3 linked regions of the Callithrix jacchus genome follow. The protein of the gene in region 1 interacts with the protein of each later gene in a pairwise test. Links are inferred from orthologs where the notes say so. Each region holds a gene or a part of one and is shown in the gene's direction. Other genes may lie near its edges. The genes, in order: PEG10, EXOSC5 and RTL8C.

The links.
Region 2: the proteins of PEG10 (region 1) and EXOSC5 interact in binary tests that used the Homo sapiens proteins (3 or more experiments, as listed by UniProt). The link is inferred for Callithrix jacchus from reciprocal best matches to the Homo sapiens genes PEG10 and EXOSC5.
Region 3: the proteins of PEG10 (region 1) and RTL8C interact in binary tests that used the Homo sapiens proteins (3 or more experiments, as listed by UniProt). The two-hybrid records come from large-scale screens. The link is inferred for Callithrix jacchus from reciprocal best matches to the Homo sapiens genes PEG10 and RTL8C.

The regions. Positions count from the first base shown.
Region 1 is NC_133512.1:54,928,677-54,933,176, reverse strand, and holds part of PEG10 (retrotransposon-derived protein PEG10), read left to right. Parts: intron 1-745; coding exon 746-1,946; coding exon of another isoform or gene 1,947-3,094; 3' UTR 3,095-4,500.
Region 2 is NC_133523.1:36,663,590-36,668,089, reverse strand, and holds part of EXOSC5 (exosome complex component RRP46), read left to right. Parts: exon of another isoform or gene 1-535; coding exon of another isoform or gene 536-614; intron 615-735; coding exon 736-857; intron 858-2,803; coding exon 2,804-2,944; intron 2,945-4,500. UniProt on the Homo sapiens protein: Non-catalytic component of the RNA exosome complex which has 3'->5' exoribonuclease activity and participates in a multitude of cellular RNA processing and degradation events.
Region 3 is NC_133524.1:130,606,461-130,609,838, forward strand, and holds RTL8C (retrotransposon Gag-like protein 8C), read left to right. Parts: upstream 1-1,450; 5' UTR 1,451-1,479; coding exon 1,480-1,821; 3' UTR 1,822-2,626; downstream 2,627-3,378.

The DNA.
Region 1 (4,500 bases):
GTATTTCTTGAATGACTGCATAATGACAAGGGAAACTGATATATATATGTTGCTGCTCAGTGCCATTTCTGTCCCACAGAGAATTTTATTTGGGGATTTAAATTATGGTCAGAAAAGTAATTTAGGCAGTCTTGTGGTTTCTGTGGTGGTGATTGTTTGATTTGATAATCAGTTACCTTCTCTGTGGCAGTGGAACAGAATTGTGACAGTTGACCAGGGTACCCCCTTGCCCCCACAGGGCTGATGAATACATTCATTGCGATTTTAAGACTCTCCTCTTGTTTTTATGAGTTTCTATCAGTTGTCGTATTGACTATTTTTGGCCTAGCTTCTCTAATAACAAAAGTTATTGTTTTGGCTTTAATTTGCATAATTGATTTGGTATCCATGTTTGCCTTGAAGTTTCTTTGCCTTGAAGTTCTGTTTCAATAGGAAACTACTTGTTTAGAGGCCTTAACATTCTCTTATAGTTTATAAAGGTAAGCATGCTGTTGATAATATATTATTGAATCATAATCAACAGGTGGTCTTTGAGAAGGACAAGGTCATTTGAACATCAAAAAGTAGTTTGCTTTTTGTATGGTGCTGATTGATAACTTCCCTTTGAGAGTTTGTTTTTGTTTGTTTGCTAATTATTAAAGTAAGCACATAGAACAAGGGATAATATAAATATCAAATCCTTTGTGTCTACATTTTGCTGCTTTGAAGGTATAAGTTAGATTTATATGTTTATCTTTATTTACAGAAATAAGCGCGTTTTGAAAACAAAAAAAAGAAGGAGTGGAAGAGGGGGCCAGGATCCAGGCCTCCATCCCCACAGAAGTGAAGTTACAGCTGGGAGGTCTCCTCCCACCCCAACCGTCACCCTGGGTCCCGACTGCCCACCTCCTCCTCCTCCCCCTCCCCCCAACAACAACAACAACAACAACTCCAAGCACACTGGCCATAAGAGTGCGTGTGTCCCCAACATGACCGAACGAAGGAGAGATGAGCTCTCTGAAGAGATCAACAACTTAAGAGAGAAGGTCATCAAGCAGTCTGAGGAGAACAACAATCTGCAGAACCAGGTGCAGAAGCTCACAGAGGAGAACACTACCCTTCGAGAGCAGGTAGAACCCACCCCAGAGGATGAGGATGATGACATCGAGCTCCGCGGTGCTGCAGCAGCTGCTGCCCCACCCCCTGCAATAGAGGAAGAGTGCCCAGAAGACCTCCCAGAGAAGTTTGATGGCAACCCAGACATGCTGGCTCCTTTTATGTCCCAGTGCCAGGTCTTCATGGAAAAGAGCACCAGAGATTTCTCAGTTGATCGTGTCCGTGTCTGCTTCGTGACAAGCATGATGACCGGCCGTGCTGCACGTTGGGCCTCAGCAAAGCTGGAGCGCTCTCACTACTTGATGCACAACTACCCGGCTTTCATGATGGAAATGAAACATGTCTTTGAAGACCCTCAGAGGCGAGAGGCTGCCAAACGCAAGATCAGACGACTGCGCCAAGGTATGGGGTCTGTCATCGACTACTCTAATGCTTTCCAGATGATTGCCCAGGACCTGGATTGGAACGAACCTGCACTGATTGACCAGTACCACGAGGGCCTCAGTGACCACATTCAGGAGGAGCTCTCCCACCTCGAGGTCGCCAAGTCGCTGTCTGCTCTGATAGGTCAGTGCATTCACATTGAGAGAAGGCTGGCCAGGGCTGCTGCAGCTCGCAAGCCACGCTCACCACCCCGGGCGCTGGTGTTGCCTCACATTGCAAGCCACCACCAGGTAGATCCAACTGAGCCGGTGGGAGGTGCCCGCATGCGCCTGACCCAGGAAGAAAAAGAAAGACGCAGAAAGCTGAACCTCTGCCTCTACTGTGGAACAGGAGGTCACTATGCTGACAACTGTCCTGCCAAGGCCTCGAAGTCTTCACCGGCGGGAAACTCCCCGGCCCCGCTGTAGAGGGACCTTCAGCGACCGGGCCAGAAATAATAAGGTCCCCACAAGATGATGCCTCATCTCCACACTTGCAAGTGATGCTCCAGATTCATCTTCCGGGCAGACACACCCTGTTTGTCCGAGCCATGATCGATTCTGGTGCTTCTGGCAACTTCATTGATCATGAATACGTTGCTCAAAATGGAATTCCTCTAAGAATCAAGGACTGGCCAATACTTGTGGAAGCAATTGATGGGCGCCCCATAGCATCGGGCCCAGTTGTCCACGAAACTCATGACCTGATAGTTGACCTGGGAGATCACCGTGAGGTGCTGTCATTTGATGTGACTCAGTCTCCATTCTTCCCTGTCGTCCTGGGGGTTCGCTGGCTGAGCACACATGATCCCAACATCACCTGGAGCACTCGATCCATCGTCTTTGATTCTGAATACTGCCGCTACCACTGCCGGATGTATTCTCCAATACCACCATCGCTCCCACCACCGGCACCACAACCACCACTCTATTATCCAGTAGATGGATACAGAGTTTACCAACCAGTGAGGTATTACTATGTCCAGAATGTGTACACTCCAGTAGATGAGCACGTCTACCCAGATCACCGCCTGGTTGACCCTCACATAGAAATGATACCTGGAGCACACAGTATTCCTAGCGGACATGTGTACTCACTGTCTGAATCTGATATGGCAGCTCTTCGAGATTTTGTGGCAAGAAATGTAAAGGATGGGCTAATTACTCCAACAGTTGCACCTAATGGAGCCCAAATTCTCCAGGTGAAGAGGGGGTGGAAACTGCAAGTTTCTTATGATTGCCGAGCTCCAAACAATATTACTATCCAGAATCAGTATCCTCGCCTATCTATTCCAAATTTAGAAGACCAAGCACACCTGGCAACGTACACTGAATTTGTACCTCAAATACCTGGATACCAAACATACCCCACATATGCCGCGTACCCGACTTACCCAGTAGGATTCGCCTGGTACCCAGTGGGACGAGACGGACAAGGAAGATCACTGTATGTACCTGTTATGATCACTTGGAATCCACACTGGTACCGCCAGCCTCCGGTGCCACAGTACCCGCCGCCACAGCCGCCGCCTCCACCACCACCGCCACCGCCGCCTCCATCTTACAGTACCCTGTAAATACTTGTCATGTCCTTCAGGATCTCTGCCCTCAAAATTTATTCCTTTTCAGCTTCTTAATCAGTGACTGTGTGCTAAATTTTAGGCTACTGTATCTTCAAGCCACCTGAGGCACATCCTCTCTGAAACGGCTACAGAAGGTCAGCGCCACCCTGGACTGGCACACATCCTAAAGCACCAAAAGACTTTCAACATTTTCTGAGAGCAGCAGAGTATTTGCCAACGAATTATCTCTCAGTTTTCCACCTTGACTACCAATCTAAAATAATTAATAAGTTTACTTTCCAGGCAGTCCTGGAAGTCTGGGTTTTACTTACTAAAACCTCTATCATCATCTAAATTATAGGCTGCCAATTTTCTTGTTTAACATTTACAGAGAAGCTGATACAAATGCTGATTTCTTCATGGAGGGGGAGACAAGGAGGAGGAGGTGGAGGAGGACATGACTTTTCTTGCAGTTTCAGTACTCTCTTTACATCACTAGAGGACCGAGTCCTTATTAAGGAAGCCAAAACTATTGGTGCAGTGTGGAAAGGCTTCCGTGATCATCCTGCTGCACCCTTAGAAACTTCACCATCTTCAAACTCCATTTCCATGGTTCTGTTAATTCTCAAGGAGCAGCAACTCAACTGGTTCTCCCAGGGGCAGGCAAAACCCTTGCTACATGAAACACCTCAGGCCCTCTCAGATGGACTCTTGTATGTTAAGAGTGTGCCATCACATCGTGGTGCAAATCGCATGTACCCAAGGACTCTGGCTTTGACACACACCTTACCATCATCATGCCATAATGGCTTCCACAAAGCATTAAACCTGATAACCAGAGATTACTGGTGGTTCCAGGGGTGTTAGAGGTTTGTGAAATGTGACCACCTCTCAATCACCTTCGAAGGCTAAAGAGTGGCAGATCAAAAGGACTCCAAAATCCCTTACCCACCTTTTAAGAGACTTGTCCTGGTACTTCAGAAAGAATTTTCATGAGTGTTGTTAGTTGACTGGAAAACCACCAGCTGACGTTTTGGAAGTATCTATCCATGTGTCTGCCTCCATATGCATCTGGGCATTCCATCTTCAGTCCCTTCATTAGACTGTAGTGTTAGGATGCATGGAGACAGGGGAAATGATTTAGCACCCAGATTCACACTCCTATCTTTGAACAAGAGGAATTAGGGCTCTGGACACTGTCTTGAGAGTGTGGACTTCCTTAGTGAGCTCCACATTACCTGATGGTAACCACTTCAAAAGGATCAGAATCCACATAATGAAAAGGGTCGCTCTAGAGGATGGAGCTGATGTGAAGCTGCCAATGGATGAAAAGCCTCTGAAAGCAACTCAAAGACTCAAAGCAACGGACAACACAAGAGTTTTCTTCAGCCCAGTGACACCTCTGGTGTCCTCTGGATGTT
Region 2 (4,500 bases), on another chromosome or scaffold:
ATGTTGGCCAGGCTAGTCTTGAACTCCTGATCAGGTGATCCACCCGCCTCAGCCTACCAAAGTGCTGGGATTACAGGCATGAGCCACAGAGCCCACCTTTTTTTTTTTTTTTTTTGAGATGGAGTCACTCTTGTCACCCAGGCTGGAGTGTAATAGTGTGATCTCAACCCACTGCAACCTCCACCTCCCAGGTTCAAGCCATTCTCCTATCTTAGCCTCTCGAGTAGCTGGGATTACAGGCACACACCACCATGCCCAGCTAATTTTTGTAATTTTAGTAGAGACGGGATTTTGCCATGTTGGCCAGGCTGGTCTCAAACTCCTGACCTCAAGTGATCTGCCTGTCTCAGCCTCCCATAGTGTTGGGATTATAGGTGTGAACCACTGTGCCTGGCTCATTAACTTATTTTTCACCCTTTTACCCTCATATCCCTCAGTCCCCACTGGCTGGGCCTGCTGGGGTGGGAGTGGGCGTGGGTAGCATCACAGACATGGTACTCTCAGGTCTTCCTCCCCTGGATGGTTCCCTTGGTGGATGCCGGAGGTAGCAGGGGTCGGTGGATGGCAGGCAGGCCCTGCCTCCTTCCCACTGGAATCCTCCATCATCCCTGCAGGTACCTGCACCATCCTAGCCTGAGACTATGGGCCCTTTCCAGGGGGTTTGGGTGGAGCATACGGAGTAAGGTGAGCCACATGGAGGGGAAGACTGTGACAACCTCTCTTCAATTTCCTCAGGCGTTGCAGAGAAGAGCCGGGAGCGGCTGATCAGGAACACGTGCGAGGCGGTGGTGCTGGGCACATTGCACCCCCGCACCTCCATCACCGTGGTGCTGCAGGTTGTCAGCGATGCTGGCTCTGTATCCTTTCCCACAGGCTGCTGCCTCCAGGAAGTCTCCTGATTGCTTCTTTTCTGGTGGCCACATATGCCCTCTCTGCTAGCCAGAAAGCCTTCAAACACTTGACAGGCACCAGCTCACTGAAGGAGAATAAGCATAGCCTGAGTGCTCATGTGCCAGACCCTGTTTGCTGTGCCTTACACACATATCTCATTTAATACAGCATGTGAAACACATGTCCTTCTGATCCCCGTGCAAGTGGCAGAGCCAAGACTTAGACCCAGATCACCTAGTTCTAAGCCCAAGGACCCTGCCAGATGAATGTTCTTATCTTCGCATGTTTCATGTGACAAAACTGAGGCCCAGACAGGGGAAGGGGCTTGCCCAAGGACACACAGCTGGAAGGCAGCACAGGCAGGACTCAAGCCCAGGCCAGTCTGACTCCAGAGCCTGTGCCAATCACCTCTTTTGTTTTTTTTTTTTGTTTGTTTGTTTGTTTTGAGCCAGGGTTTCAGTCTGTCGCCCAGACTGGAGCACAGTGGTGCAATCCCAGCTTACTGCAACCTCCACCTCCCGGGCTCAAGCAATTCCCATGCTTTAACCTCCTGAGTAGCAGGAATTACATGTGCCACCCTAATGCCAGGCTAATTTTTGTATTTTTAGTAGAGAAGGGGTTTCACCATGTTAGCCAGGCTGGTCTCAAACGCCTGACCTCAAGTGATCAGCCCGCGTTGGCCTCCCAAGGTGCTGGGATTACAGGCATGAGCTACTGTGCCCGGCCGGCAATCACTTGTACTCTGCACCTTAGTGGATTTCAGGCTGTCAGTGCTGGAGGCACCCTGAGCAGAGAGCAGCTGAGTCAGGAGCTTGGCCTTGAAAGATCACTGTGTCTGACGTGAGGGAGGTTGAGGTTGAGGACCAGAATTAGGCATTGTAGAAGGCTTTACTGGTACACGGCCCTGAACTAGACAGACGTTTTATGGAAGGGCAGAGAGAGAAGGTATTGTAACTCCATTTTACAGAAGGGGAAAGTGAAGCCCAGAGGAAGTGGTGGGGGATCAGCAGCAGAGCTGGAACTGATTGACTCTAAAGCTGTGGCTTTTGTGTGGCCTGCTAGGCCTGGAGAAGAAACACAGGAGGAAGCTGAAGCAGAGTCAGCTGACTCGCAGCCTGCACTCTCCTCCCATGCTGGGTTCCCTGCAGGCAGCCGTGAGAATGGTTCTTCCTCCACTGCCCTGCCAGCTCTGTCACTGGGGAGTGGCTGCCACCCACATTTCAGGCCTGGCTCTGCCAGTGCCTCCCCCACGTGACTTTGGAAGGTTTCTTCCCCTCTCTGACCCCCTTTGCCAAAACGTGTGGTACGTACTTCAGTACATACCTGTTGAATATTATGATATTCCCTACCTAGCAGATGAGGAGCTTGGGAGTAAGTCACTTCCTCAGGGTCACAAGCTGAAAGAGTAAAGCCAGGTCTGGAACCCAGGGTTACGCAATCCCAGAACCACTTTTAACTATTCTGCCATACTGTCCTGTGACCGATTAGTGATATCTGCCACAGCCATTGGCCCAGTGGAGGGAGGCATGGATCTGCTCTGCTGGCCAGACCTACAGTAGAAACTTCTTAGGCTGGGTGCTATGGCTCAAGCCTGTAATCCCAGGACTTTGGGAGGCCAAGGCAGGAGGATCACCTGAGGTCAGGAGTTTGAAACCAGCCTGGCCAACATGGTGAAACCCTGTCTCTACTAAAAATACAAAAAATTAGTCGGGCGTGGTGGTGGATGCCTATAATCCCAGCTACTCGGGAGGCCAAGACAGGAGAATCGCTTGAAACTGGGGGGCAGAGGTTGCAGTGAGCCAAGATCACACCACTGTACTCCAGCCTGGGCGATGAGTGACATTCTATCTCAAAAAAAAAAAAAAGAAACCAACAACAAAAAAGAAACTTAACCATTGCTCATGGTGCTCAGCTCCTGGCCTGTTGTCTGAATGCTGCCTGCATGGCATTGGTGGATGCAGGTGTACCCATGCGGGCTCTCTTCTGTGGGGTCACCTGTGCCCTGGACTCTGATGGGACCCTCGTGCTGGATCCTACATCCAAGCGAGAAAAGGTAAGTGATGACCAGGGTGGCTGAAAGGCAGAGGCCAGACAGCTCCCCCTCCCTCCCTCCAGGCCTCACTTCTCTGCAGACAGTTGGCTCATGCCACGTCAGTCCCACTTAGCAAGGGCTGCTCCAATCATCGTGGTTCGTTTAGCAGCAAGTGACAGAAACCCAGCTCAAACTTCCTTCGTTGGAAAGGAAATGTATGGCTGGGTGTGGTGGCTCACGCCTATAATCCCAACACTTTTTTTTTTAAAACGCTAGTCAAGCGAAGCAGTGGGAATGCAGAAGGAACAAGGAAATCTGTAACTGGTTGTAATCAATTAGTTGTAAACACCACTGCACTCGGACCAGCCAATCCCAACAATTTGGGAGGCCGAGGCAGGTGGATCACCTGAGGTCAGGAGTTTGAGACCAGCCTGACCAACATGGAGAAACCCTGTCTCTACTAAAAATACAAAATTAGCTGGGCGTGGTGGTGCATACCTATAATCCCACCTACTTGGGAGGCTGAGGCAGGAGAATCACTTGAACCTGGGAGGCAGAGGTTGTGGTGAGCTGAGATTACACCATTGCACTCCAGCCTGGGTGACAAGAGTGAAACTCGGTCTCAAAAAAAAAAAAAGTATGGCCAAGAACAGTGGCTCACACCTGTAATCTCAGCACTTTGGGAGACTGAGATGTACAGATCACCTGAGGCCAGGAGTTCAAGACCAGCCTGGACAACATGGTGAAACCCCGACTCTACTAAAAATATAAAAATTAGCCAGGCATGATGGTGTACGCCTGTAGTCCCAGCTAGTGGGGAGGCTGAGGCAGTAAGATTGCTTGAGGTCAGCCTGGACAACATGGTGAAACCCCGACTCTACTAAAAATATAAAAATTAGCCAGGCAGGCCGGGCGCTGTGGCTCACGCCCGTAATCCCAGCACTTTGGGAGGCCGAGGCAGGTGGATCACGACCATCCTGGTCAACACGGTGAAACCCCGTCTCTACTAAAAATACAAAAAATTAGCTGGGCCTGGTGGCGCGTGCCTGTAATCCCAGCTACCTGGGAGCCTGAGGCAGGAGAATTGCCTGAACCCAGGGGGCGGAGGTTGCGGTGAGCCGAGATCTCGCCATTGCACTCCAGCCTGGGTAACGAGCGAAACTCCGTCTCAAAAAAAAAAAAAAAAATTAGCCAGGCATGATGGTGCACACCTGTTGTAGTCCCAGCTGGTGGGGAGGCTGAGGCAGTAAGGCTTGAGGTCAGCCTGGCCAACATGGTGAAACTCTCTCTCTACTAAAAATATAAAAATTAGCCAGGCGTGATGGCATGTGTCTGTAATCCCAGCTACTCAGGAGGCTGAGGCAGGAGAATTGCTTGAACCCAGAGGGCAGAGGTTGCAATGAGCTGAGATTGTGCCACTTTACTCCAGCGTAGGCAAGTGTGAAACTCCATCTCAAAAAAATAATGAAATAAAACCAGGACCATCAGGATGTCCTCGCTTCACTTCTCGTCCCTGCCTTTCTCAGCTTCATTCTCCGTGGCTAGCATCTTTCCTGAGGCTGGGACTGACCCCGTAA
Region 3 (3,378 bases), on another chromosome or scaffold:
TTTTCTGTAGATGCTTTTCATCAGATTTAGGAGTGCCCTTCTAAGTTTGATGAGAGTTTTTATTAGGAACCATATGACACAAATCTTTGCTCTAGGAATTTACTCTAGAAAAATGAAAACCTGGGCTCACACAAAAATCTGTACATAAATGTTTATAGCTGATTCTTCTGTAATTTCCAAAACCTGTAAATGTTCCAAATATCCTCCAACAAATGAACGGATCACCAAATTTGTATATCCATGCTGTGGCAGACAGATTCTAAGGTGGCCCCCAGAATCCCAATGTCCTGGTCATATCTTTTGGTGCAGGTTGTGACTATGGCTTGCTTCTAACCAATAGAATGTGGCAAAGGTGATGAGATATAACTCCCATGATTATGTTAGTTTATACATGATTCCAACTTTCAAGGAGACACTTTCTCCCTTTGTTCCATGAAGAAGCAAGCTGAAGTGTTGTGAACTGCCTATGCACAGCACAATGTGGCAGAGAATAGAGGGCAGATTTTATAACAAATTAAGGTATTTCTTAATATTTAACCCTCCTTACATTAACTGCTTGTGGATTTATTATTCTTTTTAGAAAATTATTTATAATTTTTGTGGGTACATAATAGGTATATGTATTTATGGGGTACATGAAATGCTTTAATACAGGCACGCAATGCATAATAATCACATCATGGTAAATGGGGCATCTATCCCCTCATGCATTTATCCTTTGTTCTACAAACAATCCAATTATACTCTTAGTTATTTTAAAATGTAAAACTAAATTATTTTGACTGTAGTCATCCTTTTGCGCTATCAAATACTAGATATTAATAATGACATAATGGAGAATGGGGTATCCATCCCCTCAAGCGTGGTGCATTCCTCTTTGAATATGCTGCTTTAGATTATATTTGCTAATATGTGGGGCTTCTCTATTATAATAATGTCGCAAAGTAGGGAGCCAATAATCTGGTTGAGAGACGCAAGAAGCAGCAGGAAAATGTGCTCACAGAATCTCATACTAGTGGCGTCCAGGGCCAAGGGTCCCTGAAAGCATACCCAAAGGCTGATGAGAGGTGGGGACGAGTGCAGCGGCAGGACTCCTCAACTACCAGAACTAGGTGGGGCTCCTAACAGCTTCTCGGAGCCAGCTCCCCGCGCCCGGTACACCACCAAGTTTCCCTGGTTCTTCCCCTGCTCCCGGTCCGGCCAACTTAGGAAACCTCCGCCCATCAAGTCCGATACGACCCCGCTTCCTTGATGGCTTTAGGCCCCTCTTCGCCAGTGTTTGCCCCACGACGCGCCTGCGCACTAGGGACCACTCGGCCTTGTGGGCGGAGTCCATGAGAGGACTGGAGCTCCGCTTGTGGCCCCGCCCACTCTAGCTTGGGCCGGCCTTAGTGGACACGCATTTCCGGCGACGCCTCGGCACTGACCTCTGCAGAGCCGGGTGGAGCCCATTGACGTCCAGCGAAGCGAAGAGCAGCGATGGACGGTCGGGTGCAGCTGATAAAGGCCCTCCTGGCCTTGCCGATCCGGCCTGCGACGCGTCGCTGGAGGAATCCGATTCCCTTTCCCGAGACGTTTGACGGCGATACCGACCGGCTCCCGGAGTTCATCGTGCAGACGGGCTCCTACATGTTCGTGGACGAGAACACGTTCTCCAGCGATGCCCTGAAGGTGACGTTCCTCATCACCCGCCTCACGGGGCCCGCTCTGCAGTGGGTGATCCCCTACATCAAGAAGGAGAGCCCCCTCCTCAATGATTACCGGGGCTTCCTGGCCGAGATGAAGCGGGTCTTTGGATGGGAGGAGGACGAGGACTTCTAGGCCTGGAGACCCTCGGGCCTGGGGGCGGGTGCTCTGGAGAGGGTCCGCTGTGCCAATGGCCGCCGCCAGGGTCGCCACCGGTGCCCTCCCTCCTCGCCTCCCTCCCTCTCGAGCCGCCGCGATGTCCCCTGCGCTCCTGTCCCCTCCCGCGTAGTGCTTGCCTTTGTTCCAGGAATAGCGCTCCAGGCTCCTGCCGCCGCCCCTGGGCCTCACTTTGGAGCGAGCTGCCGCCGCCCTCTTCTTCCATCCGGCCAGCCCCACCCATGCATATTTGGACGCTGTCCTGCTCTCCAGCTGCAAGCTGGGCTCCTGTTACACACTGGATTAGACCACCCACAGCCGCCGCTGCCAACCCTCCTCCACCCCACGAGACTGCCAGACGACTACATCATTCTGCCCACAGACCTGCGCTGCCACTGCCATCGCCATCCACCGCATCCCAGTGATCTGGACTCACCTCGGAGGTATCTGAGCTGGCCACAGCCCCTGGACAGTGATCCAGACCGCTGGCTGCACCCCAAGGGATCTGTCACCTTCAGCGAGACCTATTTCCTCCCCACTCCCAAAGACCTCTTGTGTTCCTGCCTAGGCCCAGGTGTGCCTGGCAGCCAAATCGAGTCTCTAATTTTCTCTTGTGGACCAGTTAGTTTTGACCATAACCCAGTTTTCTGAGTTTGCAGCTGTCTCTCTGATGTGTGCCTTTTGTTCAACACAGTAACCCCTGCATTCTGCTCTGCTCTAATACACTACCTGGAGAAAGTCTTTTCCTTATTTTCAATAAATGTCAGACATTATTGAAAAGAAATGGTCTCAATGAATATGGCACTTTTCCCTCCCTGGTTCTGTAAATGGGGTCCATATCTTGTTCAAAAGCTATATTCCCTGCTATGCTTATGGCTGATGTTGACACAGAGTCCTGTGGTGTCCTGCAAATGGAGATCCCACCGGTGACCAATCCCAGACGATTAATGTTGTAAACAAGTCAGTTTTGTGCCCCTTAGGAAATGAACCTTAATCTGAATTTGGCCAAAATAAGGTAAGGAATAGTCAGATAGGGTGCTTTTTCTTCCTTTGTTTCCAAAAAACTGACTGAAAGCATATACTCCAAGTGGTTACAAGCCATACACCTCACACAATTGTTGGTGAATACCTCTCATAGTTTTATTTAACCCATTATCAAGGAACTAGCAGAATGGCTTAGATTCTTAAGAAAGAGCATTTACATTTATATTGCTTTAATTGGGTAGGTAGTAGAGAAAGGAATGCAGAACTGTAATGTTAATTTAGGTACAAACTTGTTTAATGAATGACCTGAAATTAATAGGCAGAAAAAGAAAGAACATTAGTCTTCAACATATCTCTGCATGCTAATCTTTGAAATCTGTGCTAACATGTCTCTGCCACTCCATCTGTCTCTGGGAAAAGTTCAACATCCCAATAGAAGCAAATTATTGTAGGGTGGGCTTGTAGGGCAGCACTCAGTCAACACTCAGCCTTTTTTTTTTTTTTTTTTTTTTGAGATGGAGTCTTGCTCTGTTGCCCAGGCTGGAGTCCAGT